Linked DNA regions of Lytechinus pictus. The protein of the gene in region 2 purifies or fractionates together with the protein of the main gene of each other region. This does not show direct contact. Links are inferred from orthologs where the notes say so. Each region holds a gene or a part of one and is shown on either strand. Other genes may lie near its edges. The genes, in order: Y-box-binding protein 1-like and ATP-dependent RNA helicase cgh-1-like.

What was found.
Region 1: the proteins of ATP-dependent RNA helicase cgh-1-like (region 2) and Y-box-binding protein 1-like purify together in Drosophila melanogaster (affinity purification with western blotting; 3 studies listed by BioGRID, with this or other methods). This does not show direct contact. The link is inferred for Lytechinus pictus from reciprocal best matches to the Drosophila melanogaster genes me31B and yps.

Annotation. Positions count from the first base shown.
Region 1 is NC_087258.1:26,261,177-26,277,375, reverse strand, and holds the start of Y-box-binding protein 1-like, read left to right. Parts: upstream 1-9,851; 5' UTR 9,852-9,976; coding exon 9,977-10,037; intron 10,038-13,763; coding exon 13,764-13,827; intron 13,828-14,890; coding exon 14,891-14,924; intron 14,925-15,731; coding exon 15,732-15,821; intron 15,822-16,199.
Region 2 is NC_087252.1:4,875,560-4,892,432, forward strand, and holds the start of ATP-dependent RNA helicase cgh-1-like, read right to left. Parts: upstream 11,513-16,873; 5' UTR 11,230-11,512; intron 7,289-11,229; 5' UTR 6,647-7,288; coding exon 6,339-6,646; intron 5,219-6,338; coding exon 5,158-5,218; intron 4,630-5,157; coding exon 4,395-4,629; intron 3,014-4,394; coding exon 2,870-3,013; intron 1,779-2,869; coding exon 1,684-1,778; intron 1,037-1,683; coding exon 914-1,036; intron 1-913. UniProt on the Drosophila melanogaster protein: ATP-dependent RNA helicase which is a core component of a variety of ribonucleoprotein complexes (RNPs) that play critical roles in translational repression and mRNA decapping during embryogenesis, oogenesis, neurogenesis and neurotransmission.

The DNA.
Region 1 (16,199 bases), on a different chromosome or scaffold from region 2:
GGGGGGGGGGGGGTAACAGTCCCCGACGATAAAAATATGGGGATAATATTTTCCTTGAAGTAGTTGTCAGGGGGCGATTGTCCATTCGGTCATCGTTATAGAACCCCATGGACTCGTATCATTGACCGTTTGACCTCTTGATGACATTGGATCTCACTATATTCTTATCATAATTTTACACACACCGCGGACTATCGGACCCGCGGACTATCGGACCCGCGGTCTATCGGACCCGCGGACTATCGGACCCGCGGTCTATCGGACCCGCGGTCTATCGGACCCGCGGTCTATCGGACCCGCGGTCTATCGGACCCGCGGACTATCGGACCCGCGGTCTATCGGACCCGCGGTCTATCGGGCTGTAACCTCCTTGCATAAACCCGCTTTCTACACAGTTTTGCAAATTAAAGAAATTTAATGTGGCTAAAGTTTTTACAATCAAATCTGATGTGAAGGTAGGCATTTTATACCACTTCTGTTCTCATTTTTTTTAATAAATAAAACGTCCTAGCTTTCGCGCTTCGCGCGGTAAGAGGAATTATTTTGAATTCCTCAATCGTTTCCCATTTTTTGGGCGGTCATCTTTTCTTTTGAAAACAGGTTTTGTTTTTAAAGGTAAGTCCACCTCAGAAAAATGTTGATTTGAATCAATAAAAATGCGGCAAGCATAATGCTGAAAATTTATCGGATGTAAAAATATTATTAAGAAAGTTATGACATTCTAAAGTTTTACTTATTTTTCACAAAATAGTTATATGCACATTATTTTATGTTACATGCAAATAAGAGAATCGATGATGTCACTCACTCACTATTTCTTTTGTTTTTATTGTTTGAATTATTGAATATTTCAATTTTTACAGATTTGACGATAAGGACCAACTTGACTGAACCGTAAAGTGCTAGACAATGGGTAATTCCACATGTTCAGGGCGAAATAAAACTTTATTTCACATGACAAAGAGGAGAAAATTTGAATATTTCATACAATAAAATACAAAAGAAATAGTGAGTGAGTGATGTCATCAGTGCCCTCATTTGCATACCGACTGGGGTGTGCAAAACTTTAAAATATCATAACTTTCTTATTTTACATCCGGTTTTGATGAAATTTTCAGTGTTGTGCTTGTTGGATTTTTCTCTTTTTATTCAAATTTGATGGGGTGGACTTGTCCTTTAATCACAGCAAGACAATTGAATTCCGTTGATGAGGGTATTAGAAACGCAAGAGACGTCTTCTTTTGATTCAAATTTGATGAGATATCTAAAAGTTCGCGCTTTTCTTTTGATTTAGATTTGATGAGATATCTAAAACTTCGCTCCCCCTCCCTGCACCCCCCCCCCCCAGGGAGCGCCCTTCGCGTGCACTTACCGCCACCTCCAAAATTAAATCCTGGCTATAGGCCTAGCTACGCGGTTGGGAGCTATTTTAGTGTTTCAGGTGAAGAATTAAATGTTTGCTTTTGTCATGTTTGTAGTTGTTTTGTTTTGATAACACCGCACTCCAGCTACAAAGTATAGACAGGCCTATACAGCTGGGGGCCTCCAAAGGAAAGGTTATTTGAAAAAAAATTATCAAACAGAGTCGGATCACATGTCCAATACGGGGTATACGGGTCCCCAATCATGCCAATTGTCATGGCGCTTGGCTATAGCTGGATATCACGGGCGTAAATCCGGGGGGGGGGGGGGCTCATGGGGGGGGGGGTATCCCCCACTCTTCGGAGAGGGGGGAGGTGGCATGTACAATCATTCCACCCACTTTTATAGACAGAAACGATATTTTTTCAATCATCAATGATTACATTGTTAATGCGTGGATTCATCTTAAAATGCGATCGAAATGCTTAATTTGCCCAATTTCTCGTGCGGTCGCTCGATTCCCGCGCTCATTCTAATCTTTCCAGAATTTGGCCATGACAAATCCCTACGTTAAATAGCATATATTGATATTGCAAACGGTATCCCAGCATGCATCCTGAGAGTATGGTTCGTCCATGTATGAATTGTATGATACAAAATTAATGACCTTTAAATGGTTGATCACCAATCAAAACATCCTTTGAATACATTGGCGTGAATGCATATGTGTGTGTGTGTGGGGGGGGGGGGTGTAATTACTCTCCTTGTATCTTTGTGGAAGCGGCCGGGGATAATTTGTACAAAAAATATACATGTACCATGTATACAGATATACTCTATACTTCAAGTTAAGTGCACGATGAGTTACTGATGACCGACCAAATCAATACCGTTATAATGAAACACAGATGCAAGTATAAGGGCAGCAATATTTCCCACACACTTTACAATTTACAATCCGTTTATAGGAGATCTAAAATCACACGTTTTATTAATTTCATAACAATCTGATGAATATCTATTTATGAATTTAGTTTCAAATTTTGAATGTTGCATCATTCAAAATCTTTCCTTTCTGCAATATTTTTTCTTTAATTTGCATTATTGTGCTATTTCCAATAGGGCCTACTAGTAATTTTACAAAAAAATCGTAAATTTATAGGATTTTTGTATACCTTTTAAAAACAGACGACACAATGATTTAACAAACCAAACGTAATTATGCAGTAATATGTAACGTAGAAAGTAAATAAGTTCATGGACCTGGGAAGCGGGGGTGCTGAGGCACCCCCAAGATTTTCCCAGGGGGTGCTGCGTGTATTATTTTCCATAGGCAGCACCCCCTGGAATTCTGGTTGGTGTGTCACATGGGAGAAATGTATGGAAAATGACCAACATCTTGTGTTGAAACCATTTTTTTTTTGGCTTATCAAATTTGTTGGCAACAAAACAACCTTCATTGTTTAGTGAAACCTGTTTTGCTTGTCAAATTTACATAGGCGGATCCATGGGCCTAAGGGGCCCGGGACTCCCTATTGGCGGAGCAAAACAAAAAGGGGGAAGGCATTAAAAAAAAAGGAAAGAAGGGAAAAGAGAGGAGAAAATTAGAGGATGAAGAAGAGTGAATAAAAATAAGGTGAGGGGACGATTTAATGAAATAAAAAACCTTTCAAGTCACTATAAAGTTTTCGCTTGCGCTTCGCGTTCGCATTGCATGTTTGATGAGATAGGCCTACATGAGATTCTTCCTCAATAGGCTGATAAAGTGATACGGAGCTTCACATATCAAGTTTGAAGTCAATATACAAAACACATTTTAGCTCCAACATCGAGCTTTCATTATTTTGTTTGATTTATAAATTGATTTTCAAAAAGTGCTCACATTATTGATTTAGGATACCCAATTACCCACTCTTTTCATGATTTACAAAACATAAATAGAGTGACCCATTTTAGGTATAAATCACATTTTTCCCCCGCTCAAGCTTCGCGCTCGCATTGTTTATTTATATCCTATCCTGCGCATGATTATAAAATATGCTTAAAATTTACATTATTTTTAGGTCGGAATTTCATAAATTTTCAGCTCGCGCTTAGCGCTCGCTTTATTTGATTATTGAATATGTATCGCTTTATGGCTAACTAAAACAGTCCTCAACAAGTCTCTCTTCGATCAGTTATATACGGATTTTGTTCATGATCACAAAATTTGCCCAGAATGTTCGATTTTCAGGACAAGATACATGAAATTTCCAAAAGAAATAGCTCGCACTTTTTAAATATGGCTTATTAGATTACCTTGTTTTATAAGAACAAAGCAAATTAGTGACTGTTACGAAGAAACAAACAGAAATCATCTTTGAGTGGCTGATCGGGGAAAATATGGGTGAATTGTTTTTCGCCCCCCCCCCTTATTGGCGAAAGCTGTATCCGCCCCTGAATTTAGGCCTACTTCAGCACCCCCAGCCAAAAAATCGGTCCCAGGGCCCTGAATAAGTAAAATGTAAAACAAAGTAAAATAATTATAATTTGTAAAAATACCAACGAACTATACTAATATCGCGTTTTTACGTTGATTGCAGTCACTAGCGTACCTACGGGGGGGGGGGGGGGGCAGAGGGGGCAGTCTGCCCCCCCCTGACGAGCCACAACCCATGCAAAGGACGTATCCCTGCCCCCCCCCCCTGACGAGCTTGAAGGCCTTTATTGCCCCCCTGACGAGCTGGAAGACCCTTTTTTTTTTTTTTTTTTTTTTTGCTTGTCAATTTTTTTTCTGGTACGAAATCCTTCATTTGTGATTGAAGACCTTTTTTTGTGTGTGTGGTTTTTTTTCTGGTACGAAATCCTTCATTTGTGATTGAAGACCTTTTTTTTTTTGCTTGTCAAATTTTTTTCTGGTACGAAATCCTTCATTTGTGATTGAAGACCTTTCTTTTTTCTTTTTTTTTTTTTGCTTGTCAAATTTTTTGGCGGACGGTTTTGCCCCCCCTGTGAAAAATTCCAGGTACGCCACTGATTGCAGTGCATCCATCGTCGTATTTGTAAATTAACGGCAATTTTCGTGTTAAATGAATGTTAAAATTGTGGGGTTTGTTAACAGTTATCCAGTTTTTAACAGTTCATACTGTTTGTGAGTCCCAGCTGCCAGTAATAATTACTGTTTTTTTTTTTTACAGTTTTATATGAACAGTGCACCTTTTGGGGTTTTTATTCTTCCATGGTCAGCCCTTCTACTCCTGATTTTCAAAACCGTTCCGCGGCCCCTGATTCTGATTTTCGAGGGATGAACACAAAATAGGGCCTATTGCCTCGAATTTGCGAAACCCAGAAAATCTCGAAATTTCAATTTTCCTCCTTCGCTGCTATACAGTAACTCAGCAAGAAATTAAGATTTGAGCAGCAAGATGACTGGCCGTTAAAATATCATATTCCTTGACGTACAGATTGGGGTGCCATGGATTCCCCCAAATTTTTACTGCCCAAAAAAAGAGAAAAGTAAGGAAAAGGAAAGAGTGAAGAGTGAAATAATTATTAATTTATGAATATAATGTCAAATTCTATCACAAAATTTGAGTTTTGTAGTTAAAAATGTCTCAATTTTTGCTCACTCTCTTCTCTCCCTCGCAACTGTTTTTTCTTTTCTGGCCCTCTCAAAATTTTCGGCTCATCGCGCCACTGATCATAACATATAATTTTTATCGCGTGTTCAATTTTCTATTAATTTTTCTCAATCCATCTGTTTCTAACAATTTTGAAAGGAATGTTAACAAAGTCCGGTAAAAACACGATGGTCATCAGGCTTAGAAATCAATACATACCATCATCATGATCATTTTCCCCCCTCCTTATCATCATGATCATACTTGTCATCATGGGCGGAAATCCCAGGGGGGACAGGGGGGACGTGTCCCCCCTACCCAAAATAGTAGGGGGGACACAATATCAAATGTCCCCCCTACTATTTTCGGTTTAATTACGATGGAAAGAAAGAAATTGAAATAAAACATGTATTTTGGACGAAATGACCTTACTTATTGGGTGGTAACCTTTTTTTTTTTTTGCTTGTCAAATTTTCCAGCCCCTGGTCCCCCCCTACCTTTCGAGACAGATTTCCGCCCTTGCTTGTCATGATGTTCGACCGTAAATTATAAATGGGGGGGGGGGCGGGAATGATAACACAGGCCACCCTATATATACCTAAATCAATGGGGGAATATATTCCCCATCACCCCCCCCCCATAAGGGTTAGAATTCAAATTACCATCTCTTCCGAATATTCCTCTTTGTAATCCAGCACTTGGTCAAACTGCCACAGAAATAATATTTTCTTTTTTTTGCTAGAGACGGAGCGAATAATAAAATGGAATATTAAAGGGATTGTCCGGGCTGAAAATATTTATATATAAATAAATAGAGTAAAATTCACAAAGCAAAATGCTGAAACTTCTTTCATCAAAATCGGATAACAAATAACAAAGTTATTGAATTTTAATGTTTATAAATATTTTGTGAAAACAGTTATATGCACATCGTCATGAATATTCATTGGGTGGGCTAATGATGTCACATCCCCACTTTCCTTTTTCTTATGTTATTACATGAAATCATAAATGTTTCATTTTTTTCATACATGTGTTAATAATGTGTCTCCGTTATGATGAAGTAAGTTGTGGCAATAAATAACTAATACACTTAATCAGTTGTCAATCCAATTGTTTTAGCTCTTGGTAGACAATTTTTGAATAAACCTAATTTCATATAATAAAATACAAAAGAACAAGTGGGGATATGACATCATCAGCCCATGCACCTAATGAATATTCATGACGACATGCCTAGAACTGTTTCACCGGAATAATGCAAATCTTTAAGATTCAATAACTTTGTTATTTGTTATCCGATTTTGATCAAATTTTCAGCATTTTGCTTCGTGAAGTTTACTCTATTGAGATAGAAATATCTCCAGCCTGAAAGATCCCTTTAATTTCTCTGGTCAGAACGTGGATATAGTGCTTCAGCACTCTGGATCGCTGGATTGCGACTTTGCACTCCATCTTTCAACCAATATTGAAAGCGACTAAACGGGGGGGGGGGGGGGGGTTCAAGGGAGAATAACCCTCTCGCACGTATCATGGCCTATATCAAGATTTCAAGACCATTTTGCATGTGTATTTTGCTCAGTAAGACTGACTATAGGAACCAATCAGAATTGTTCTTTCAAATTTGCGATTAATCACTATTAACCTCTTTTGTTCCGGGGCCGCTTTTGAACAGGACAGAAACGAGACACTCTCTGAAAATGTCAAACATGTCAAAATCGGACAAGTTTCTACAAAATTATTACACATCTTTTTCCCCACTTATTGTTTTGTATTTTATTGATATGAAATTATATATACAGTATTGTCTTTAAGAAGAAAAATTGCTACTTTAGGGACTTAATTTGTGTAAGAAATAGAGTATAAAAGTCGCGGTTATAGAGAATAATTATAACAACAATTTTATTGGGAATTAATTATAAACATAGTTCTAGTTAAAATTCACTGCGAATGACTAAAATCGTAACTGAATTACATACGCGAAGAGCGCGGCCCTAATCTGGCAAAAGGGTCTATCTGCTCATTCGCCCTCGAAAAACTTTCTGAGATAATCAGCTTTGAAGTTTGAGCATTTAATTTACTTGTAGAATACTTGAGAGTTAATTTTAGCTGGTGGACTCTATTCTATCACTTAGTTTATCTTTGAAAAATTATTTTTAGTCCCTTTTTATTATTTTAATCCCTTTACTTTTCTTGTAAGATCCAATTTAATGCAGATAGACCCTTTTGCCAGATTAATCTCGGGAGCAAAGACAGTGATATTTATCTGGCAAAAGGGTCTATCTGCACATAGACCCTATAAAAATTGGCTGTAATCTGGCAAAAGGGTCTATCTGCACATAGACCTTTTTGCCAGATTAAATGATGGCAGATAATATGTTTATTTTATCAGGCAAACGGGGTGTATCTGCAGATACACCCTGTTGTTAGATATACAGAGGGAAATTGTGATAATTTAACCAGGCAGAAAGGTATATCTGCACGGTTGGTAAACTATTATAATATTGGACAGGCTGCGCAGGACTCTCAACTTCATGGTCTACAACCACTTGGTTTACTATCCATTTTGTCCAAAACCATTTGGTCTACTAGGCGTTTGGTCCATAACCAATTGGTCTACTAGGCATTTGTTACAAAACCATTTGGTCTACTAGGCGTTTGGTCCACAACCATTTGGTCTACTAGGCATTTGTTACAAAACCATTTGGTCTACTAGGCGTTTGGTCCACAACCATTTGGTCTACTAGGCGTTGTTACAAAACTATTTGGTCTAATAGGCGTTTGGTCCACAACCATTTAGTCTACTAGGCGATTGATCCACAAGCATTTGGTCTACTAGGTGTTTGGTCCATAAGCATTTGGTCTACTAGACGTTGTTACAAAACCACTGGTCTACTAGGCGTTTGGTCCACAAGTATTTGGTATACTAGGCGTTTAGTCCACGACCATTCGGTCTACTAGGCGTTTGGTCCACAAGCATTTGGTCTTTTTACTTGGCGTTTGGTCCGTAACTAATTGGTCTAAGTAGGCATTTGGTCCACAGCCATTTGGTCTACCAGGCATTTTACAAAAACCATTTGATCTACTAGGCGTTTATAACTAATTGACTTTGTTCTGAAAGCAATTGGTTGGATGCACAGGGTGTCTTAGCGATTGGAAAATTTAAAACCTAACCCCCCCAACAAAAAAATACATAAATAAATAAATAAGATAATAATAATAATGACACCATCCAAGATTTTACACTTAATTGGGTAGGATATTCTAATCAATTATAAAGTTGGGCATAACAATATTTTTTTTTAAATTTTATCCATCTTATAAGATCTTCATTAGTTATAACCAATTGTATTTTGATTTCTCTTTCTCACACATGCCACAGACTGACGAAGAGTTTTACTTTGCCTTTCATGCATTCTTTAAGAGCTATCTGTTTTCTTCTTAAATCTATGATTTTATTTTTTATATGGCAGTCTAACATTTACCAATTGTGTTTTTTCATTTCTATTTTTTGCCTTTTTCTCCTCTCTCCCTTGCTCTCCTTTACTTTTTCTCTACTCTTCTTCTTTCGTGCTATCCATCCCTTCCTTTCTTAAATCTGTATTCACCTTTTGCAATTTTCTGCGGCATTGCACTTTGACATATAGAAGTAGTGTGGGGAGCTTATTTCAAATATTGCTGGCCCTCAGCGATCTGATCCCCTGAGTCAGGGTTATACAGGCGTAATTACAACTGGCAGGCCAAAGATATTCATTTGAGCAAACCCATTCTAAATTTTTAATTTTGATATTGCTGATTGACAAAAATGAATGAATATGATTGATAATCTTACACTGATTCTAGGGAGGGTAACTTTACTGAACTTGCTTTTCTCAAATTGGGATGATATATCACCACTTTGGAACTATTTTTATACTGGCGGAAGAAGTATTGCCATTTTACTGTCTCAAGCCATGAATTTGATCCTGTCAGGTGTAGTCTTCATAAATGTGTTTTAATAGAACCCTTGTAGGATTATGACATCATTGACATCTGGACTAATGCCTTATATACTTTGGCGCAAGTCAAAATTTCACTGCAAAGAATACCTAGGACCTACTAATAATCATCCAAGCATAAAGGCCTAGGCCTACCACATAAATGTGGTACATGTATCAAGTAAATTCGGGAGAAGATATTCTTTCAGAAATTATGGGCTCATGTTATATTTTTCCTTAAATTGGGTATTTGTGAAGAGTCAAGTTCTTTTTTTTTTTTACTCACACGGTACGTAAAGTAATATTATGCGCGTCATTGCAGAGACGATTTTTTTTTTTCAGTCACTACTTGAACATATTTAGAAAAGAAAACTGCATTCATTGTTTGTTTTTGTCTTAGACATGTTAAATATTAATTGGATATTTTTAACCTTTATTGGGGCCGGGGGCATCATGCCCCGGCCGACCGCTCCCCCCTCTCCCGAACACAGAAAAGCAGAATTTTGAAAATAGAAGAGTTATGGAATTCCGCTTCTATGAGAAACAGGTAAGGGAAACGGATGATACTCCGCCATTTATAATCAAGGAAAGATATATCTAGGGGGCGGGGGCGTTATCAGACAAGTTGTCAGATCCGACAACTTTCCTTGATTTTGATTGGCTGAGAACCGGGGCTGAGAAGTGAGAAGCATTGTTACTATGGTGACTTCATGAAGATAAAACAATAGAGAAAAGGTTATTGATGAAAATGTTGGAAGAGATGGAGTGTTTGATGAAAGGACTTGTCGGATGTTTTATCCGACAGTTACCATAGTAACAGTGCTTTCCAGCCAATCCAAACCAAGAAAATATGTCAGACAGGACTAAAATGTTGATGAAACGCTCGTTGGGCGTGTCTCTTTTCTCTTCCCACAATGCCGCAGTCGAGGTTACGTGCGTTAGCTTTGAGATGTTCTTCCGGTATCTCATCAGCACAAAGAAGACCGTTGTGCGAATGAGACGGAATTTTTCGACCTGAGAAAAACATCATCCAGGAAAATGTCCGAGGGCCAAGAAGACCAGCCCCAGACCAACGAGGCTCCAGAGAAGATCGTTCTGGGTATGTTGATAAAGTTTGGTTGTATTTTGTGAACGGAAATGTGGAGTAATAATTAGTTAAATTTGGGCTTGTTATGAGGAGTCGTTAGTCGTGCAGTCACTTCACACGAAGTCGCGTCACGCTATAGCATGTGCAGTGCATTGCCATTATTGGCATTGCACACGTGCACATGCCTGCGTGGCGTGGCAAATCTCGGAGACTAGGTGAGTCCAAACTCCAAACTTCGCGGATGGTCATTATCTTAAAAACTAGCCAATATCCTTAAAATCTGACATTAACGTGAAGAGCTACCTAATATTACCCTTTGATGTAAGTTTCTTTAGGATGAGTTCAGTATTCATGAAAATATTGACCAAAAAAAATCGGCGTTCAGAAGAAATCTGAAAAATTCTCAACATTCAATTTCAACAAGTATCACGATCATCATTTTGCAAGCAGAATAGCAGATATCATAGCAGATATCAAAAATGTAAGTTTAATGTGGTACTGATTGATTCTATAAGACTATAGCATTTTGGGAAATAGTTCCATATGCACCCCCCACCAAAACAAAAGATTGTTGAGACTTCCGAAGTTCCGGTTCGTTCACTTCAGATTTTTCTATCAGTATCATTTTTTTACTGTTGCTTACATGTACCTTAGTTGGGACTCGAACTCACCTCGTTTGATCTGCAGTCAAGACCTTTCCCGCTATGCTAGCGAGAAGCGCTGATACCGGAAAGGGTATTTTTACGATTATAAGCCGATAAGGTGATAGGTCGACTAGTCTTGACTCGCAGACCCTTTGCTTTAGGCTTTACTGACTAAATAAAGCGATGTCTCTGGACAATGAATTACACGCACAAGATCTCGCTCGAAATTTGACGGAATAAAGCCATATTTTGGTATGTATTTCCACTTCCCCATCATATATGTTCGATATTACTAGGGCTAGATATATTATTCTGAACCTTCTCCATGTTTTTATTTTCAATTTTAGTGGGGGGTGCATATGGAACTCTTACCGCATTTTGCCGTCAGTTTGATAATGATATAAACATCTCAATTTTTGTTTTGAGCTTTTTGTTTAAATCTCCACAAAAACTTTGGTCCACGAAGTTAGGTCACACTTGCTCTTTTTTTTAACAGATTTCCAGCACTGGCAGTGACACTGACAGCGCAGTTGTTGATCGGAATAGAATTTTGAGATCGCGAAACCCCTTGACCTACTTCACATTTTCGTCAGTTTTATAGTAAACAATCTTGCCGCGTATGCCGCTGCCGTCACTTTGATAGCTAATATTTGAATTGGATTTTGATTAAAATTATGAAATTGATGATTTTGTTTGACCGATCGGGCCACCAAGAAAAAAAGTTAGCCTTGGGCTAATTTTTGTAATAACAAAGCGAAGTACCATCAGTTCTGATATGATGGATTAAAATAGTTTGTGCATAGTAGTAGTTACAGGCTGGAAAAAACATTATGCAGCCACACACTGGCAGAGTTACTCTAGGAAAAGAAGAAATTTAATATAGGAAATAACATGATACATATGGTAGAAGAAAAAGGACAGGTAAAATAAAAATTGAAATAAAGAGAGAGAGAGAGATAAATAACTTTACAAGAGAGAGAAAGAGAGAACATATAAGAAAAGGGGGATAGTATTATTAAGTAGGCTAATGCCCCAAAATGGAAATTAGACGTCTAGACCAAGGCCAAGTAAAAAAAGAAAGTAGTTGATCGTCCTCGCGCGCATCTATTTTGGCCGCCGCATGAATTTTTTTACTATTTACTATTTTCAAAAATTGGCTTCCCTTTTTGATTGCAGCATCAATTTTCTTGATATTTACTATTTTTATGGCTGCTGAATAGCGAAAAAATTCACAAGATTGGCAAGCGATTTGCTCTTATGTGCTCTGGGATCTCTCGCAACTTCATAAAACAATTGCAAAGTCCGATATAGCCGTAACTGCAAGAAAAAAAAATTCTGATTTGGTTTTTTATTGGAATTTTGAAGAAACAATCATAAATTAGCAAGAAAATAAAGTTTGCAAACTTGGAAAATATCACAGATTTCTTCATTTTTAGTGCATTTTCGGGGACCCCGCTTCCTGAATCTGAACTAATCCGTCGCGTGCTTTGGAAATAAGGCGCAGATAAATCAATTTTAATGACTTAATTTGTATTTCAGCAGGGTTTTTTGGTGAGTGATAGCACCTGTACTTTGATGTGTGTTGCGGCATGGTTGCAGTGATTGACTGCTGGGTGTGCATGTCTGCTGCAGTGATGTGATTGACTCCTGGCACGACATGTGAATTTGTGAAATGAATTGAATTTTCTGGCGAGTTTTCTAACGTCAGCAGGCAATGCATTGAATATTAAAAAAATATTTCCATTTCAAGTGAGTTATTCATTATCAAGATTGAAGATCATTAATAGGATTCCAGTAAGTGCCAATTCTGTTCAAATTTGATAAACTTCATTCTTCCTTGAGCTATTCAATTTGATGGACAATTGTAAAAATTAGTTAGTAAATAGATCTAACACTAAATATTGAAATAATAAACATGTGAACAATTAACAATTAATTCAATAATCATTTAACATTTGATTAAAAAAAAAAGAATAACAATTTAATAAACAGTATATTGTAAACAAATATACGGCAGCTGGAAACTGCGATGCGAAACCATGCCCAGAGCTGAAAAAGAGATTGGCTCTGGAAAACTGAACAAGGCTTCCATGGTAATAAAATGAACCCCTCAATGCATTTTTTACCCTTACATATATATATTAATATAGAATAATGTTTAAATCATTCACTTGACATGAACATTTTGTTTTACAACAATACAGTACCGGTATACATCAGTAATACATCAATAGATTTTTATTGCAATATACATTTCCATAGATTTCCAATCAATTGTATATATCTATATATATATATTATGCATATAATATGTGTGTGTTTCTACTCATTTATTAATATTGAGCATACATCGATCACATAATTCGAGCTTGACATGGCCTGACAATCATTTGAATAAAAAATAGCAAAAAATAGTAAATAGTAAGGACCTCCCTCATCACTGATGTCAAAAAACGGGCGGAGAAAATGTCTCCTTGTTTTAAAAAAAAATAGAACGATAGCAAATAGTAAGGACCTCATCACTGCTCTCAAAAATCCCGGACGATCAACTACTATCTTTTTTTCTTGGCCTAATAATAATAATAATAACATTTCATTTACCCTGGGTAGCCACTTCAATCATAAGACTTCTCTTCCAGCGGGCCCTGCATAACATAACATGTTATTATTACCCTTCTCCAATCTAAATGCTGAGCGCCAAGCAAGAAGGAAGAAGTCTTTAGTATGACTCGACCGGGGATTGAACCCACGACCTCCCGTTCATGAGGCAGATGCTCTACCACTGCGCCACCATACCCAGTTATAAAGCTTGAATAAGGGAGAAAGAGAAAAGAGAATGGGAAGGAAACAAACTGATCATAGTGTAGTAGGTTTCACGGAACACCATGTATCTTTCTTGAGCGAATGTTGGTCCTAAATATTGTGCCTGTTTTGTATTATAATCATGGTAAATTTGCCATGAAATTGGCCATGCCCAATTACCCATCCCTAAAGTTCTGCCAAATTACCCATTTACTCACAAAAATGTCATAGTACTAGATCTGCAAAAATCACCAATCATTTCCCTATTTGCACATCTTTATCTCTGTCTTAGCCACAAAAGTTTCCGGAACAGTCAAGTGGTTCAACGTCAAGAATGGCTATGGATTTATCAATCGGTAAGGCTCTCTTTGTCATTCATCTATTGTTTAGCTAAGCTTGTAAATGTCAGTTTTGTTAAATGTGAATTTTCTTATAAGGGCTGGATCCAAGATACAAGGGCGGGGGCACCAACATTCTTTTTTTTTTTTGGGGGGGGAGGATGGTTGACAAATTAGTAACATATATCACTGTAGAGTTTGTCACAATTCTGATAAAAATCCACAAAGAAGGAGTTCATCACTTCAGAATCAGATAAAATTTAAACAGAATTACAAACTTCCAATCAGGGGCCTCTTTTTGCTTGATAAGAGGAGGGGGAGTACAAAGGAGGGCACTGCATACCACTGTTATTTGTCTACTGAAATCCATGTTAAACCCCCATTTCACAGAGAACAAGACCGCTGAAAGACCTTTCAAAGACCATGAATTCTGGTTGATCTTTCAGAGGTCTCTCAATGAACCTACAATGGTCTTTGAGGTCTTACACGAGTCCTGACCAGTTTCAGTGGTCTTCGTGGTCTTCATGGGCTCCAAAACTTTTTGTGTAAACGGTTGAAAACAGTCTTACAACGGTCTTACAGGAAAATGGTCTTTCAGAGGTCTTTCAGCAGTCTTTCAGTGGTCTTTCAATGAACTTTCAAAGGTCTTAATAGTCTTTAAATGACCTTTTGGCAGTCTCTCAAGATTTTTGTGGAGATCACTGTTAGACTCATGAGAGATCATTGAAAGATCATTCAAAGATCACTGAAAGACCAGGCAAAGTCCATGAAAATAATTCTGAAAGATCACTTGTTGCATAAAAGATCTCTATAGGACAAGTCTAAGACCAGTAAGACAAGAAATATCCATCAGTCTTTCAGAGTTCTTTGAGGGGTCTTTATGAGTCATTCCCCAGAGATGACAAATTTCAGTGATCTTGAAGACCGCTGTAAGACCTCACCAATTTTAAGTCTTTCAATGGTCTCCGTTCTGTGGAATGGGGGCCTTACAGGTTGAATTTCTGTCCAAAATGATCTGAATTTAGTGAAGATAGTTTTTTTTTGTCATATGTCTTATCTTTTATCTCTCTCTCTTGTACAGAGATGACACAAAGGAAGATGTATTCGTCCATCAAGTGAGTATTTTCTGCTTTTCATCTACAAATGAATGAATTACAGAGGTGTTATTGGGTCAGTTTCACAGTCACTATGGCTCAGCTCTGTGTTACTTGAACAGTTGGTTTGAGATATTATTTTTTCTTTTATGGCTACTCAATCCTATTTTTATTTATCATATTTTTGAAAGACAACAATGATGTGGGGGCTGTTCCAGAAAGCTGTTCGTAAGTTAAGAGTGACTTTAAGAACGGCTGGTGATCCTTTTCCTCGTAAATGATATTCACCATTAAATTATCATTGGTGATTATGTAGCATGTAAGAAAGGTTCACCAGTCGTTCATGAAGTCACTCGTAACTTATGAACAGCTTTATGAAACACCCACCTGAACTAAGCTTGTATTTGATGAGGATATGAATATTAAAAAAAAGAGTGATTTGAGCAAATAATTCAGAAAAATCTGAGGTTTTCTAAATTGTAGTACATTTGAAATAAAATGCAGTCTTTAACATTTAAAATGAGCCTTTGGAACTTCCAATCAGTCAGTTATTGCACATTGATGCATGAACTCTATGAGAGAGGCTGATAAATTTTGTCAAGTTCATTTTAAGAACAGGAAATATATGAAGGTTTCTGCTTTACTTTTATAAATGGGATTTTTAAAAATCGACAATAACTAGACAAGATCTCGGCAGCAATTGGTGATCGGAACTGGCACAGAACACAGGCTTGTCAAAGCACAAGTCACAACAACAATATTAATTGAACAATTCCCTCATATGTTAATGCATTGTGTGTCTCGTGTGAATCTTGTTTGTTTTTACAGTCAGCCATTGTAAGAAACAACCCACGCAAGTACCAGCGAAGTGTTGGTGATGGTGAAGTGGTAGAGTTTGACGTTGTAGAAGGAACCAAGGTAAGAGAGATTACTGCTTCAGTTATAAATTCAACAAAGACACCGTTCTCACTACCTTCCTAAAACTAGTTTACTGGAAACTAGTTGATCATGTAATGAGAATGCTCAAAGCAATCTTGGAAGCTATCTTCCAAACCGGTTCATAAAACCACCTTGCGATGTAGTTTTCAAGATCGCTTTGCCTCGTTAAACTGGTTTTAGCGTAAGTGAAGACACAAACAAGCGATCTTCGCACATTTTGAGCACGCTACTCCGCACACTGTAGAATGTCTACACTGCGGTTTCAAAGTTCGCGTAAAACATGTCACCCCACTGTGAGTGTTCCCGTAGCAACAAGATCGCTTTACGTAAAGTAAAGCAATCTTCCAAACTGGTTTC
Region 2 (16,873 bases):
ATACACTTGACTTTCATATTAATGTACAAGATTTCAATTTGTGTTCTACCTATGTATAATGTACAGTACTTGTAAAATCTAAGCTGAATAATCACACTGAAGATCGCCTACACAAATTAGCACATGTGGGACAGTGTATTATTATGGAGGAAAAAAAGTCACCTGGCTCCATTGCCACACTTATTTTGCTCATTTCACAACAATTAAACATTTTCGACCGTAATCATTTGACACATATCTTATATTCATAGAAACAAGATCACGTAAGTATTTGCCAATGTATCATGCCTGACTATGGAGTTTGATTACTCTTACTGGAATGCTCCCCAGGGGGTGGAGAATGTGCATGGATAATGCTTAGGTTAGCAAGAATCCAATTACCATAGATCAATATACCGGGGGTACCTGTAAAATGCTTATAGAGACATTGGCCTGTATTCTGAAGTCAGGTTTAACTTAAACTTGGGGTTTAAAGTTGTGGTTTAACCCTATCTTAACTGGGCTATTTCGGACCAGTATATAGTGGGGGGGGGGGGGGGGGGGGGGTACCACAACCGATTTCTTATGTATTTTTTTTTTTTTTTAATTTCTAATGTATTTCTTTGTTTTTTTACTTTTTGTTTTTTTATTGTTTTTTCGATGGAAATCGTTCCAGACTTAATTCTGATCATAAACAAGGCAAAATTAATTAAGTTTAATCAGTAAAAGTAGAAATAATGATACATTTATGAATTTTGGCTAAATACACAATTTGCATTGGATTTGTACATGAAATCACGTTTATGAGCAATTTTATGCCCCCCCCCCTCCCGGGAGAATTAGGGTTAAAGTTAAACCTGACTTCAGAATACGGGCCATTGTTTCAATGTATTCAGTGCAATATAAAAGTCTAATATTAATACTATAGACTCACCATGAAGTCTTTTACTTGGATTGGGAAGGTTGCCGAGTAGAGCATGATTTGTCTGTCTTGTGGAAGATAACTGATGATGTCATCGAGCATGTTCTGGAAGTCTTTAGACAGTAACTTGTCAGCCTAGCATGAGAAATGATGGGAGGCAAAAACCATTACACAGAACATGCAAAAATACAAGGTCACATAAAAAACTAGCCCTGTGTATGTATTTACTCATCAAGTTGCCACCTTTAGATATACTTAATCTTAATGATCTCATTTTTAAAACATCTGGAACTTCCAGTTTAATTCTCAAATTTATTTCAACCTTTCACTAATAATGTTCTTCACACCACAGTTTCCTATGCGAATGGGAAAATGTGCAGGATTCATCCAAATCTTCTCATGGCTAAATACCCTTCTCTCCACAAAATATAGCGAGTTACAAAGACTTTTTATCTCAAGAATTCAACCACTTTCTTATCAATCTCAATTTAAAATTAAATCTCATTGCATGACTGGAAAAAAAACTTTTTATTGGTCCTTTCTTTTGTATGAACTATTTTGATAAGTGAAATTTTAACACGAAACAATGCCTGAAAACAGAATTTTCTGCATCTGTTTTCTCTTACCCAGTCCAGGGGCTTATTTCATGAAACTTATTATAATAAAAAAATTTCAATGACAATTTTAAGCTACTGAAATCATACATTTCAGTTGGCTGATAAACTTGTCATAGAAAGTGTGTATAACAAGTCTTTATGAAATAGGGACCGTGGTTAACATACCTCGTCCAATACCATCACACTGCACTTGTCCATCTTGGCAATGCTTTGCTTCATAAGATCCAGGATACGCCCAGGAGTGGCTATCACAATGTGTACTGGTGAAATAAAAATAAAACATGACATTCATATGATTAGGAACTTACATAAGTGCCTTTAAGGTATTCTAAAGACAGAATTTTAACCCTATCTAGGCCGGGGTATTTTGAGATTTAATATGGCCGGGGGGGGGGGGGGGGGGGGGGGGGGCCTCCCAGGCCCCCCTTGAGATCTCGGCCGTCGACCGCGTGATCGCGCCGAAAATTGGCATGCAGGTTGTCTGGGATATAATCTACAAAATTGTATCGTAATTTATTTCATGCAAATTGTTATTAAGTAATTATGCTAATCTATGCGTAATTCGTATGCAAAATCATACTTTATCCTCTTACTTCATAAATAAAGCTCCAAATGTTCTAAATTTTGGCATAGAAACTCTTTGTGGTGTTCTTAGCAAGTTTACATGAAAAAAATTGTGATATCAGATCAATTTCTTATGTATTATATTGTTTTTTGCAATTTCTTATGTATTTCATTGTTTTTTGGACCCTTTGTTTTTCATTGTTTTTTCAATGAAATTCGTTGGGAACTCTTCTAAGATCATAAACAGCATAAAATACATAGATTTAGACCAGCAAAACAAAAAATAATGATACATTTATGATTTTTGGTTGAAAACACAATTTACATTGACTTTGTACACGAAATCACGTTTTTGAGCAATTTTTGGTCTGACATGCACTTACATAACGTTGCGTAATTTCGGAACCGCGTACCCGGGTGACACAAAATTGGTCTCAAAAGTTGCGCAAGACTTGAAAGTAAAAAGTCAGCGAGCAGCGCGGCCAAAAAAATTTGCGCGGTGAAAATATTGCGCGACTCGTTGAAGGGGGGGGGGGGGCCTCGGAGGCCCCCCCCCCCCCCCCCCGGCCTAGATAGGGTTAAGTATCATATTCAGTATTTTGCTTAGGTAAAATACTTAATCATCTTTGGTATTCAATCACATTTTTTGGCTAAGTATTTTCTTTAAAATTCAGCTGCCCACCTGGAAAAATGATTACGGTCAGTCACATCGACCTTTAAGGTCTTGATAACAACTCCAATTACAGGAAAAAAATAGGGGTAACAAATAGAGGAAGGTTGTACCTACCAGGATCTTCGAGTCTGAGAATGTCGTCTCTGAGACTAGTACCACCCGTTGTGACCATGACATTGTGTCCTGTATGCTTTGATAGCTGCTTACAGATCTGACTGGTCTGGAGAGCCAGCTCTCTCGTTGGTACTAGGACTAAAGCTGTAGGATAGGAACAGATTGAACATATTCTGAAATTAGTAAATGGCGAGTGATAGCTGGATTCAAACTGTGCTTCAAACCCCAGTACCAGCACAAGTACAGGGGCCTGTTTCATAAAGGACTTGCAACTGTTGTAACTGTGCCATTATGGCAACTGCCATGGTAACAGGGCTCAGCAGCCAATCAGAATCAAGGTTGCCATGGTAGCTGCCATAATGGCAAAGTTACAACAGTTGCAAGTCCTTTATGAAACAGGCCCCAGGACATGAAATCACATATTTTAACTAACAGGCGTACATACATTGTATAATCATGCCATCTCATGAACTGTACCCTCTCAATCCTTCATCCGAATATCAGGACTTCCAGTGAAAACAGGACGTACAAGGGGATTACTCTATGCCCACTCTGACACTGATATCACTGACATACACAGTGATCAGCAACACTGGGGCAATCCAGGGGGGTGTTTCACAAAGATTAAGTATGACTTAAGTCGCACTTAAATGCCAATGCGCACATGATATGCAACGCGCAATCTTATTGGACAATACGCAGTAGTGCGCGTCTTCTTGGCATGATCTGACCAATGCTGTCATGCCTTTTATACCGCGCGCAAATAGACATTTAAGTGCGACTCTAAGTCATACTTAAATCTTTGTGAAACACCCCCCAGGTAGGCTTGGTTTCATAAACTAATTATCAGTCAGTTTGACAAGGCATTTATCTACATTTGCCACTTAACTGAATAGATATGTATGCATAGGGATACTTTGAATGATTGACCACCTGATCAGGGAAGCCGTTCTTATGCAGTGCTTAGAAACATTGAACTAAGTGCTACAAAATTATTGCACATTATCACTTTTTTTAAATCATATACTGTTCGAAATCTAAGCTAATGAAATAAGCAAATTCAATTGATCTTTCTCTTTTCAGATCAAACTAACACTGTGAAATATTCCTATGATCAAGATCTATGAATTCATTTAATAATATAAACAACCATAATTTGTATAATACAGCTTTTATATATTTAACTGTGCTTGCTAAGAGCTCTTTTAATTCCATGATTCAAAACAACTTTGTAACTATTAAATACATGCAGAAATGGTTTTAATTTAGATATATGAAGATGGGCATTTCATAGAGATTGTTTGCAAGTTCTCAGCGTCTTTACGTACGACGGGGACCTGTTCTTAGGAGCTATAGGCCGCTACATAGGAATATAATGCTTAGCACGAGAAAGGGTCACCAGTCGAGCGAAGTTAAAAGCTAATGAACTCCTTCCATCTGATTGGCTGATAGTAAATTTGTTACAGATATTTGTTACAAGTCTTTATGAAATGGGACACAGGTCTCCTTGTATTCATCGACTGACCTTGAATGAAATTGTTGTCTGGGTTTGTCTTTTCCAGGAGGGGTATAGTATAAGCACCAGTCTTTCCTGTCCCGTTCTTGGCCCTAGCCATGATGTCCCGTCCGGTCAAGGCGATCGGTATGCTCTCTTCTTGAATCGGCGATGGCTTCTCCCATCCTTTCTCAAAGATGCCCATCAATAGAGGGCGAGAGAGGCAATAATCCTCAAACTCATTTCCTTTGGTATTTGTGACGTCCTGTTGGAGGATACAACACACAGATCAATGGCAATATCAAGAACCTGACATAAAAACGTGTAACAGTCTGATCGCCTGAGACTGTACCTCCGTCATGAATGGAACTTCTTGTATCATGGTAACTAATCAATGACACTTCCTTACAGTGCCCTTGTAAAAACCTTATTAAAAGTAAGCGCTGCCTCTTTCCTGCAAGAAAGCATCTTTCCATCACTATCTTCACATTTAATCAAAGATAAATCAATGGATTTGAAAAAAAAAATTGCTGTGATAAATGCTAAGTGCATTCATCAAGCTCAAGATTCGACGTTTGACTAATGGTAAGGTGCCCTACTACAGTTACATGTGGAAATTATCTATCGAAATTCAATAGACAGACCTCTAATTCGAATTATCTGAACAAAAACGTAAATTGTTTACTCAAAGATATACATGTAAATAAACGTCTTTAAAATTACCCCCCCAAAAAAAAATAATAATAAAATTGAAAATACAAGATAATTTCTCATTTTCAAATCCCATACTTACTGTTGTTCTAATTCTTCTATCCTTTTCTGGGATTGCTAATTTTTCTTTCCAGTCTGGATCACTGTGAAATGAATAATTAGAAAACATGAAACAAAATGAAACACTTCTTCACATAAACGTTTTTATTGAAGATCCAGCATCCTTTGATAAACCGTAGCATAGAAAATACATGAGGGCGACGTGCGATTACAGCCTCATGACAGCCCAAATTGCCCCTAAAATTCCCCCAAAATGCATGCTTTGGGGTGACAATCTATCTTAGAGTCCCCCCAAGATCTGCAATCGCCCCAATGTGGAAAAAAGATAGCCATTAAAAGTAAAAATTATTTCCTACCCTGATAAACTGACTTTGGAATCTTGTAATTAGCTGCAAAAAAAGCTACATTACATGAGTAGGAGGATTACACTTTACATATGGGCAATTCCATAGGTTGGTGGACATGAGCTCAATGTGTCTTTGTACATAAAGCCCATCTGAACCGTAACGTGAGTAACCACTTTATCTGCACCCTAGTAAAAACCATGTGTTCTTTATTTTTTGAATTATATACAAATTTGTCTCCCTTATATACTTTATATATTCTTTGAAATGGATATAATCAACTTTCATAAAAGCCTTGTATGAGGACACTTTTCACTTATGTCCACTTTTCATTTCATTTATGTCCAAATCATCTAACATGAGTAACCGACACATTTCAAAGATTTGCCAGGAGCATAATGAAATTTCCCAAGTTTTGTTTTTATACAAAGGATAGTCAGAGTGCGTACTATGTTGTGATAAGAGATGTTTAGTTCCTATCAATAATAATGGAGTTACAGCTCCAAGTATGAGTCAAGGTGTCTCCAAATGTAACGTGGGTAACCGTGGAATAGCCCATATGTAGGAACAACTTGTAGACCTTCTATGTGAACTTACATCCCCCCCCCCTCGGAAGTGTCGCTAGCGATAGCAATAGCAGCTAAGCACACCATCACTGAAACAACTGGATTTCAGTGGCCAAGTACTTTTGTACGAAATCAAACACAAATTGTTGTGAAATAACAGTTAATTTCCACATATACGCTTCCTTCCCCAAAAGTACAAGTTAGCCAATAAAGCAACAATTAAAAAATGTTTGTTCCGAACACAACGACCATAATTATCCCTGAATGACGAGAGTAGGTGAAACAGTACTTACTCCATGTCTATCGGTGTCGGCTTGGGTACTGGTGCAGCTGCTTTTGGTGCTGGCCTCTCGAAATCCTTTTGTCTTGAATACTGTCTCCCGCCATAGCCCCCGCTTCCCCTGTACCCTCCGTAATGCCCGTCTCTGTGGTAACCTCCTGGGCCGTCTCTGTGATGTGGGCCATTCCTGTCTCCCCGCCCTTGGTGATTTCCTTGGTGACCATCGCCCCTCCTGGAGTCGTTGTTCTGCCCTCTGTTCGGGCTCCTTGCCCCGTGATTGTTGTTCATCATGCGGTTGAGTTGTGGTGGTGCCGTTGCCATGGCAAACAGTGTCTTTTTTCACAGTATTTGTTCTCCCTTTTTGCAAATTCTTCCAAGTTCCACCCTTATCGATGGGTGATTTTAGACTTTCCTTGTATTACGTCTCTTTAATAATCATCAATGAAAATTGCATCAGGTGTCCATACGAACATTTCAGTTAAAGATAAGATAATTCCTGAGATAACTTGTCAGAAATGTAGTAGTACAGGTTCACAAAAAAAGGCAAGTTAGTGCCATTCAACTTTGCCCATACAAAATGGGAAAAAATTATCTTTGGCAAATATACAAATATACATTAATATATAAAACGACCTTTACAAATAATATATTCTGCTATAAACAATGAAGCCTCTCAGAGAGGCGTCACAAGGAATTTGAATTATAAATTCAGATTGTCCGCTTGGTAGGAAGGAATCAAGCAGCAATACAAATGGCTAAGGACCCGCAGAAGTTTTGAACTTCTCGTGCGGAGAGTCTATAAAGGTGATAGATCACTGTTCAAGCTTGCAGCGTTCACTCACATGTGTGTATAGCTCAATGACGTTTGCATAAATCTGGTAGAATCATAAGTTCAAAGGAAAGAATGTAAAGTTGTCCAAACGCTATCCTGACTATCGCAGGAATGCCATCAAACCAGCTTCTCTGTAAAATGAAATAGAGAGAACAGAAACTTTCAATAAACCAAAGGAGGGTTTAGTGAATAAACATCACATGATTAGCATTTAATTTCTACTCTCCAAACCATTATTTCCTGTTCACGAAATTGGACCACCACCTGACATGCTACCAATATAATTGTCTATTTTTAATTGCATTGTTCATTTTCAACTTCAGTCTTGAATTCTGAACTCATATTTAAATTCAACCCTGCTTTAAAGTTGTGGTTTAACTATGGATAGCCAATTGGGGCACAACTCCCTAACAGTACACATTCAATTCATTAAACTTATTTGACACTCAAATTGTCCATTATTGTCTGGGAATGATAACTGAAGTAGTTTGAAGTATAAAGGAAACAAAATAGTAAACATACAAAATATACAATATAAACAGAATTTTTGGCTACTCATAATTTTCGCTGAGTTAGACCGTGGTCTAAATCAAACCTGCCATCAGAATACGAGCATTGAGATGTATTGCCACGTTTCATTTTAACGGCCATGATTTGACATGGCACATCGCACGTTAAAAAGTGAATGTGTGCAAGAGCAGCTGAATTGCGGTGCACGGAGATGCAGCAGCTATTCACTCCCAAAACCCCTTTCGAATGAAGGCAACCCTGAAGAATTGATTACGGTATACATGTGTATTTAGAATCTGTGAATTCAATGCTGTTGACTTATTCTGTAGTTTGTTTGGATTTACAAGGCATCTTGAAGATACAAAAATTGTTTGCAAACTCAGAATCAAACCACTATTTTTATTTTGTTTCTAGCACTTTTTTGCAACCCCATTTCTTAAATTTAAAGGTCAAGTCAACCCCAGAAAAAAGTTGATTTGAATAAATAGAGAAAAATCAAACTACCAAAACGCTGAAAATTTCATCAAAATTGGATGTAAAATAAGAAAGTAATGACATTTTAAAGTTTCGCTTATTTTTCATAAAACAGTGATATGCACAACTCAGTAAAATGCAAATGAGACAGTCAATGATGTCCCTCAGTATTTGTTTTGTTTTTTATTGTTTGAATTATACAATATTTCATTTTTTATAGATTTGACAAGGACCAACTTGACTGAACCATATCGTATTTAATAATGTTAATTCCACATGTTCCGTGAGGAATTAATAGCTGTTTCACTTGACAATGAGAAAATTTGAATATTTCATATAATGAAGTACAAAAGAAATAGTGAGTGGATGACGTCATGAGTCTCCTCATTTACACCAACAAGGATGTGCATACAACTATTTTGTGAAATTAAGCAAAACTTTAAAATGTCATAATTTCTTATTTTACATCTGATTTTGATGAAATTTCGGGCACTTGTTATGTTAGTTGGATTTTTTCTTTTTATTAAAATCAACTTTTTGTTGGGGTGGACTTGTCCTTCAAGCAAGCTGAGCTGAGCTACATACTGTAAGCCACCATGCGCTTTAGAAAAATGACGTAAATTCAGCAATTTTTATGGCATAGAATTTGGCTTTTCACAGCCCAAGAGCAGATTTTGGAGTTGAAACCAAGACTTTCTTGGGGTGTGGCGGTAGAGCACACATGTGAAGTGCGGACAAGTATCTAATTTGCGATTCTGCCATAGGTTTGTGTTGATTGAATGAGCTGGCTCGTGAGACTGAGTTTGGCGGTCGAGTCTCGGTGCACGTTGAATTTGGGGTCGCTTACCTCACATCAGCAAATGATCATCCAGTCTAACTTTGCCAATAAAATTGATCAAATTGAATGAGTAGCGTGCCCTATTCAACATGTGCCACGATACGTATCATTTCACAAGCCAGAAGGCAATCACCACAACCCACACCAAACACATTCACTCACCACAGGAAAGTCACAATATCCCCTTTGAAAACTCATTTCCAGAGGCTTAGCTCAGACTTAAGAAACAGGATCGCAAGGAGATGTGCTAAAAATGAAGCAATCACAGTTAAGTTCCAAGTTTTCTTGCAAATAAACGATCACATCTTCCATATGAAAACTCATAAAAGAAACAAAGATAACGCTAAACTGCATTGAATTTGCACATAAATACGGTCAACATCAATTCCGTCACAACCGTGTTGTTGTGATTGTTGCCTTCATTCGAACAGGCCAGTCATGCCAGGAGCTCCGAGCGTACGCCGTAATCTGAGCGAAAGTCTGCAACTTCCGGATTGAAAATCGCGTGTGGTACAGCACTTATCATCAGCTCTCCAACGCACTGACACGACATATGATCGACTTTAGCACGTGCAATGCAAAAGTCTAACTTTACATTTTGAAGATTTTAGACGAAGCTCAAACAAAAAGTCAAAAGTTTTAAATCAAACTTCATGAACTTAGGCTAGAAGCCTAGAAAAATATAGGCCTAGACCCAAAAGCTTCAGTCTCTGTTATGTTGGCTGTTCCGCTGAACTCCGTTGGCTCCACTCACCAAAATACAGAGGCCAAAGTTCTAGCTCGATCTGTACAGGGACTCAATGGCCATATGTTTGTGTATTAAGGTCGGATAAAACAGGGAAGTGAATTTGCGTGACAGCCGAAGTCACTGTTTTTTCCCCTTTTATATAGGCCTAGGCCCTAACTTCCTAAGTTTATTTTTCCCCGTTTTGGTGCATTTTAGGCCAAAACGGAATTATCTTTATTTTGGTTTGACAGTTCTTTGTATGATTATGAAATAAGGACAAAAATCGATGAGCACTGCCGGGGGGGGGGGGGGGGGGGGATTTCGCATTGTTAACCCCCTAATGGTGGCTGCACGATAGCGAGCCGTCTGTATGACTACGTCTACGAGGTCGAGGAGAAATTTAAAAATATTAGTTTTATTACATGAACAGTAGAGGCGCATGGCCAATATTGGAGACTGTCTCCAATGTGGGAGATTATCTCCAAATATCAGAGACTTTGGTAAAGAATTTGGGTAGGCCTATCCAATTTCAGAGACAGTCTCCAGTTTCTGACAATCTGAGTCCAATTTCCTTTGTTTACATTTGCTGCAAAAGGATTAAATGGCGGCAAATAAAAATGTGATAAGCAGATTCCTCATGAAAAATTACCCCTTTTCACCGTCTACTTTAAAAATTCACCGTCTACTTTTGTTTTGATAAGGATTTTTGTTGTCAATCACACACAAAACAAATGGGCTTCTGACCTCAGTGAGACAAAATTTTGGGTGGAAAAAATCATGCTTTTGTTGGAGTTGTTTCTTTTGTCCTTTTGCAAAGCAAGTCTCCAATGTGGGAGATTGTCTCCCCTAGGCCTAGTATTGGAGTGAGTCTCCCATATTGGCCGTGCGCCTCTACTGATGAAAAATGTTTAAAAACTCCTGTCTCAGAACAGACGGCTGCAGCTAAAAAAATCGTATTATTATTGGCATGCCGTATTATTGACCTATTGAACAAAAATTGAGGCAAATTTCACATCGTGAGAAGAAATTTTAGAATAAAAAATGTTTCAGAAAAAAAAATTGAAAAAATATCTCGCTCTGCCCGGTCTGATCAGGTCACATCAATAAAATTAAAATAAAAAGTCCCAAATTCTCAACATTAACAACAATCTCTACAAGACCTTTAGCAGATCCCGAGAATAAAGATTAATTCCACTTCAACTTCATAGAAGCAAGATGAAGTGTTTTTGTCAGGGAAGGGCACAGCGGGTCCTTTTCCAATCATCCCATTACGTTTCAATCTCATATTTTACAATTTTAGCCTATATTATGACGCTGTATGAACTACCTGGTACGCTACGACCGAATTCTCAAACCCATATTCTCAAACAAAATTATACACTTTGCCAACACTTAAAATGCCCAAAATGTGACATATCAGAATCGTATAAAACACATCATTCGAAAAACATTTCATTCAAAAGTAGCATATTCAGAACAACACAGATTAAGACGGATTTCTAGAGACGGGTTGTTCGACTTACAATACAAGAAGGTTCAAAATGGCCGTCTGTGTATACGCATACGAAATTCTGTCCACAGTGTATTTGCTAGTGCTGCAGTGCAGTACCGTAGACAAAACAGGTACCGGTAGACTGTTTTCTTCTTTTGTGTATGGCATCCGGGCAGCTCGTCCTTTGTCAATTCGCCGGATTATTATTCCCCCCCCCCCCCCCCCCGCTGCAACAGACTGTAAAAGAAGGTTCGAAAATGCCTTATAATCTTTGGGTTGTGTATAAATAATATATATATATGCCTATTGACTTTAAAAAAATTGTTTTTGTTGTTTTTTATATGAAAAAAAGTATAAAAGAAATAATAAAAAAGATTTAGCAAGATCGATGAAAATGAATATAATTATAGGCCCTAATCCCAATTGAAGTTAGGTCCTATAAAATATAGCGCTATACTTTTCCCCGCCCAATATCATACATCAGTCCATGGGTGTCGATCGGTATTCTTGGTTGGGGGGGGATGATGGACACAAATGTTCTTGTGGATGGGGATCTTTCAACATTACCCCCACTAAAATCACAAGTTAGGACATTTGGGAGTGGTGTTCTTGCAGCTAGTGGTGTACCGTGAGTCACGGCATTGGGGCCGGGCACCAGCATAATTTTGAGTCACTTGGTGACTGAGCGCGCAAAGCGCGCTCAGTTGCCAGGTATACTGACCTAATAGGTACATTTTAAAGACAGTGCCATTAAACGGATATGTATCTCACTGCTCAATTAATGCGAGCACGAAGCGCGAGCTGAAAATTTTTGATATGCAGACCAAAAAAGGACATTTTAAGCAAATTTTTGTAATTATACATACCTGTCTCGCTAAACAAACAATGCAAGCGCGAAGTGCGAGCTGAAATTGTTGTAAATATTGACCCCAAACAAGGACATGTTAAGGACTATATTTTAGGAATCCATTAAGAGTATACATATCTCACCATAGTCATCTAATGCGAGTGCAAAGCGCTTAATTGCTGATTTTGCTACATCTAAACACATGAAGCACTTTTTGCAGTCATTGTAATCATGATAATACGCATCTCTCATCAAATATTGCGAGCGCGAAGCGCGAGCTGAAAATTTGGAATATTAAGACCTGAAGAGAGGCATTCTAAGGCCTGTTTGTAAGAATTCACTAAGACCATACGATACGTATTTCACTAAACAAATGATCCGAGCGCGAAGCGCGAGCTGAAATTTTTTGATATTCAGATCAGAAAAAGGGACATTTTTAGGACTGATTTTTAGGAATTCATGAAGAGCAGACATATCTCACCAATCTACTAGTGCGAACGTAAGCACGGACAGGAAATGTTTTATATTAATACCTTAAAATGGGGCAATCACTTTAAGTAGTCATGAAAAAGAACCATATGTCACTACATAAAACAATGATAAGTCGAAGTGCGAGGAAATATATTTGGTGTATATTGACTTTAAACAGACAATGCGAGTACCGGGAACAATGAAGACATCTAGGCCTGAGCAAAATAAAGTTATGAAAAAATGTTTCTTATGTATTATAACATAACATTATTATAATATAACATTATAATAAACAATAATTTCTTCATTCCCACTACGTTTCTCTTCCTTTCTCCTCTTCCCCGTTTTTTTTGCCAGCCGATGGGGGGGGGGGCACGTGCCCCCCATGCCCCCCCCCCCCCCGTAGTTACGCCACTGTAATTTCTCGGAAATTCTTTCATTGTTGCAGTGTACTGTACTTATATAATTTTTTTTTGAAAATTCAATTTGTGTTACAAGTAAGCCTATTCTAAACTCATACGAAAGAAATAATGACAAAAATTGTCTGGACCATGTACAAAGTGATCTGTTTATTGAACATGATGTATACAACTTCTCTCTTAAATCTAACCCGACTGGCAATATCTTTTTTCTTCTTAATGCATGATGATAAAATGCAGATTCGGACAAATTAAGACTAGCACAAATTACAAACTGTGTGGCTTCTCGTGCGCCATCGGGCTTACCGTCATTCCTTAGACGATTTTAACCCTGGATTTTAACATGTTTTAAATGCTTTATAAGTGCATGGAACAAAAACAAACATAAAAACAATCAAAACTCAACTGTCATGTTATGATATTTCTCCAACATTTTCTTGAACCATCAGTGTGTAATATCAGCTAATATATGTTTTAAAATGAAATTTACGTACCGCATGAGTGTGCTCATATAGAATGCAAAACTGTCATCCCTTTCCAAACTCAAAAGAGATTTCTTTTTGCCAAAATAAAGAAAAAATCAATCAAGTTTAGTTATTCAAGTCCATAACAATAACAAGAATATCATGGGAAAAAAAACATCCGATGTTCATATCCGAAGATACGCTTTAGAGAGAAATGAACGATTATTCTATCTGAAACCATTAATTGATTTCATTTTTTAAAAAATTGTAAAAATATGATCATATTACCACTGGTGGGATGGAACACTCTATCAACAAAAGTTGTTTTTCGTCGGGGTCCTTTTATGTCATGTGTTAAAAAATATCATATATACATAAATATTTCATTCTTTTTCATCTTGAACCTCCACCCATCTGTTTAAAAGTCCTAGAAAAGAATGTTTTTATTTAATAACAATATACACGAATTGCGAGGGAAACAAACTGATTGATGGCATACTATAATCATCACTATAATCATCATGATCAAACTTTTCATTTTTTCATCATCATCATTATAATAAATTTTCTACCCTAAATTATTGGGGGGATGATAATACAGACCACCCCCCACTTGAAATATTGGGGGGGATATATCCCCCCCCATCCCCCCCGTGATCGACACCCATGCATCAGTCACTTGAATTTATTAATGTGCTCTGATAAATTCACGCGTTATCGTTTTCCGGAGATATCGATCGTCATATTTTGAAATCAGACACTCGGAATTCAATTAAAGGGATAATCCGTGCTGAAATATCCGTACGAGTCACAAAGCAAAATGCTGAAATTTTTTCATCAAAATCTGAATAGCGAAGATATTGTATTTTAAATATGCACGTCATCATGAATATTGATTAGAGTATGGAGGTCACATCCCCACTTTCCGCAATCAAACAAGAGACTTGATAGGGTTTGGGCCCCGGCATAGAAGCAAAGCTTGTGAAAGGGGCCTATATCATGTATATATGAAACAAACATAATAAAACAAAGTACAAAGGCAGGAAAATTGATGAAAAAAATATTTACAAAAGTACTAAGAGATTAGCTCGCGCTTCGCGCTCGCCTGATTTTCATAATAAAAGAAATGTAGGCCCATGTAGAATGCTCAGATTCTATGCCTACATCTAAAACACGAGCACAATATTGAGATACGCAGCGAAAACGTGCGTGAAATTATCCTGTTTCAGATTAGATTATCAAAAATTTTCTACTCGCGCTTCGTGCTCGCATTATTAACGTAGGAAGATACCCAATTACCCACCTTTTTCATGTTTTATGAAATATGAATAGAGTGTCTCCCTTTTTGGGTTAATTTTTTCCGCTCACGCTTCGCCCCCCCCCCCCCCGGTAGGCGAAAAGGGGGCGCCAAAAAGAAAAAGAAAAGAGAGGGAAAGAACAGGGGAGGAAAAAAGGAGGGAAAGAAAAAAAGAAAAAGAAAAAAAAAACGGAAAGATATATATAGAGAAGGAAAAAAAAAGGAAGAGAGAAGGGGGGGGGGCCGAATTTATGTTATACTTATACTGTCGCCAATCGATGTTCGAGATAGGGGGAGGGGGGGGGGCGCCAAATTGATGTTCAACCGAGGGGCGTCGAATTGATGTTCGACCTATAGGGGCGCCAAATTGATGTTCAACCGAGGGGCGTCGAATTGATGTTCGACCTAGGGGCGCCGAATTGATGTTCAACCGAGGGGCGTCGAATTGATGTTCGACCTATAGGGGCGCCATCAATTATTGTTTAGTAGGGTGACGATCGTGGTCAGATAATGCTTTAATAAAATGTCCAACTTTGGGTCGATAGATCAAAAATTTTCAGCTCGCGCTTCGCGCTCACATAAGCTGTTTTGTTAGATACTCATCCTGTTCATGATTAATAATAATAATAATAGGCAGTTCTTAGAGACGCATAATACCATATAGTCTTTATGCATGTAGAAGAATTGATGAGGCAGATTGTTCCACAATTTTGGTGCCATTATTTTTTCCCCAAAGTTCTATAACCAAAAGTCTCGGACTTTACACTCGTATTTCAGATTACTAAAAAATGCATACTCGAATGTCCAAATTTTAAATCTACAATTTTAGAATATACAAAATTTTCAGCTCGCGCTTCGGCTCACATAATATTGTTTAGATAGATATTCATCCGCTGTTCATGGTCCCAAAAATTTGCTTAGAACGAATCACAAGTTTTGGGTCGGAATATAAAAAAATTTTAGTTCGCGGCTTCGTGCTCGCATCGATTAATTAGATGCCCATCCTATTCATGATTACAGAACAGGGGCCAAAAGCTGGGGTAGGGTGCTGACCATGCAAAAAATCACAATCATATGGTCATTTTTACGTTTTTTGTACACGGTTTTGGAAAAAAGGGGGGCTGAAGCCCCCCTCCCCCCCCCGCTTCCGCGGCCCCTGCAGAAAGTGTTTAGGATGTCCAAATTTTGCAGGTAGAAAATAAAAAAAAAATCAGCTCGCGCTCACATCAATTGCTAATTAGTTAAATGACCATCCTGTTCATGATCACCGAAAGCGCTTATGTCAACATTTTAGGTCAGAATATAATTTTTAGCTAGCGCTCTGCGCTCGCACAATAATTGTTTAAATAGATACCCATCCTGTTCATGGTTACAAAACATGCTTAGAATTTCCAGCTTTGGGTTGGAAAAAATGTCAGCTCGCTCTTCACGCTCGCATAAAATGTTGAGATAGATAAGGTGACGAGTCATCGTTAGATAAAGTGCATAAAAATAATGTCAAACTTTGGGTCGGAATATAAAAAAAAATTAAGATCGCGCTTCGCACTCGCATAAAACTATATAGATACCCACCATGTTCATGATTACCAATAGTGCTTATAGAATGTCAAAATTTTAGGTCAGATTAAAAAATTTTCATCTCGCGCTTCGCGCTCGCATCAATTACTAAGTAAGATGTGGAGCCTCGTGGCCTAGTGGATTAGTCTCCAGACTTTGAAACATAGGGTCGTGGGTTCAAATCCATGCAGCCATGGCGTATTTCCTTCAGCAAAAAAGTCATCCGTGTGCTGCACTCGACCCAGGTGAGGTAATGGGCAGGTATCGTTCTTAACGGCAGATATCGTTCTTTACTCGGTTTACTCAGAACCATTTCTGCCGGATTGCTGCGCTTTGATTTTCTTTTTATTTATTTTCCTATTAAAATATGTTAATAAAAGCCGGGTATAGGTCCTATATAATTTCGAAGGAAATGGGTACAGTGTGCATGCAGATCGAGAATCGATAGCAAGAACAATATGAAATTACACTGTTGAAAATAGTTTAAACAACGCTGTTTGCTGTATGTAAATCGCACAGTAGGCCTATATATACTGTTTAAACATTTTAAACAGGTGTTTAAAATCTTAAACAACAAAGTTTCAATTCAAATATTTAATTATCAATAATTTAAGCATTTT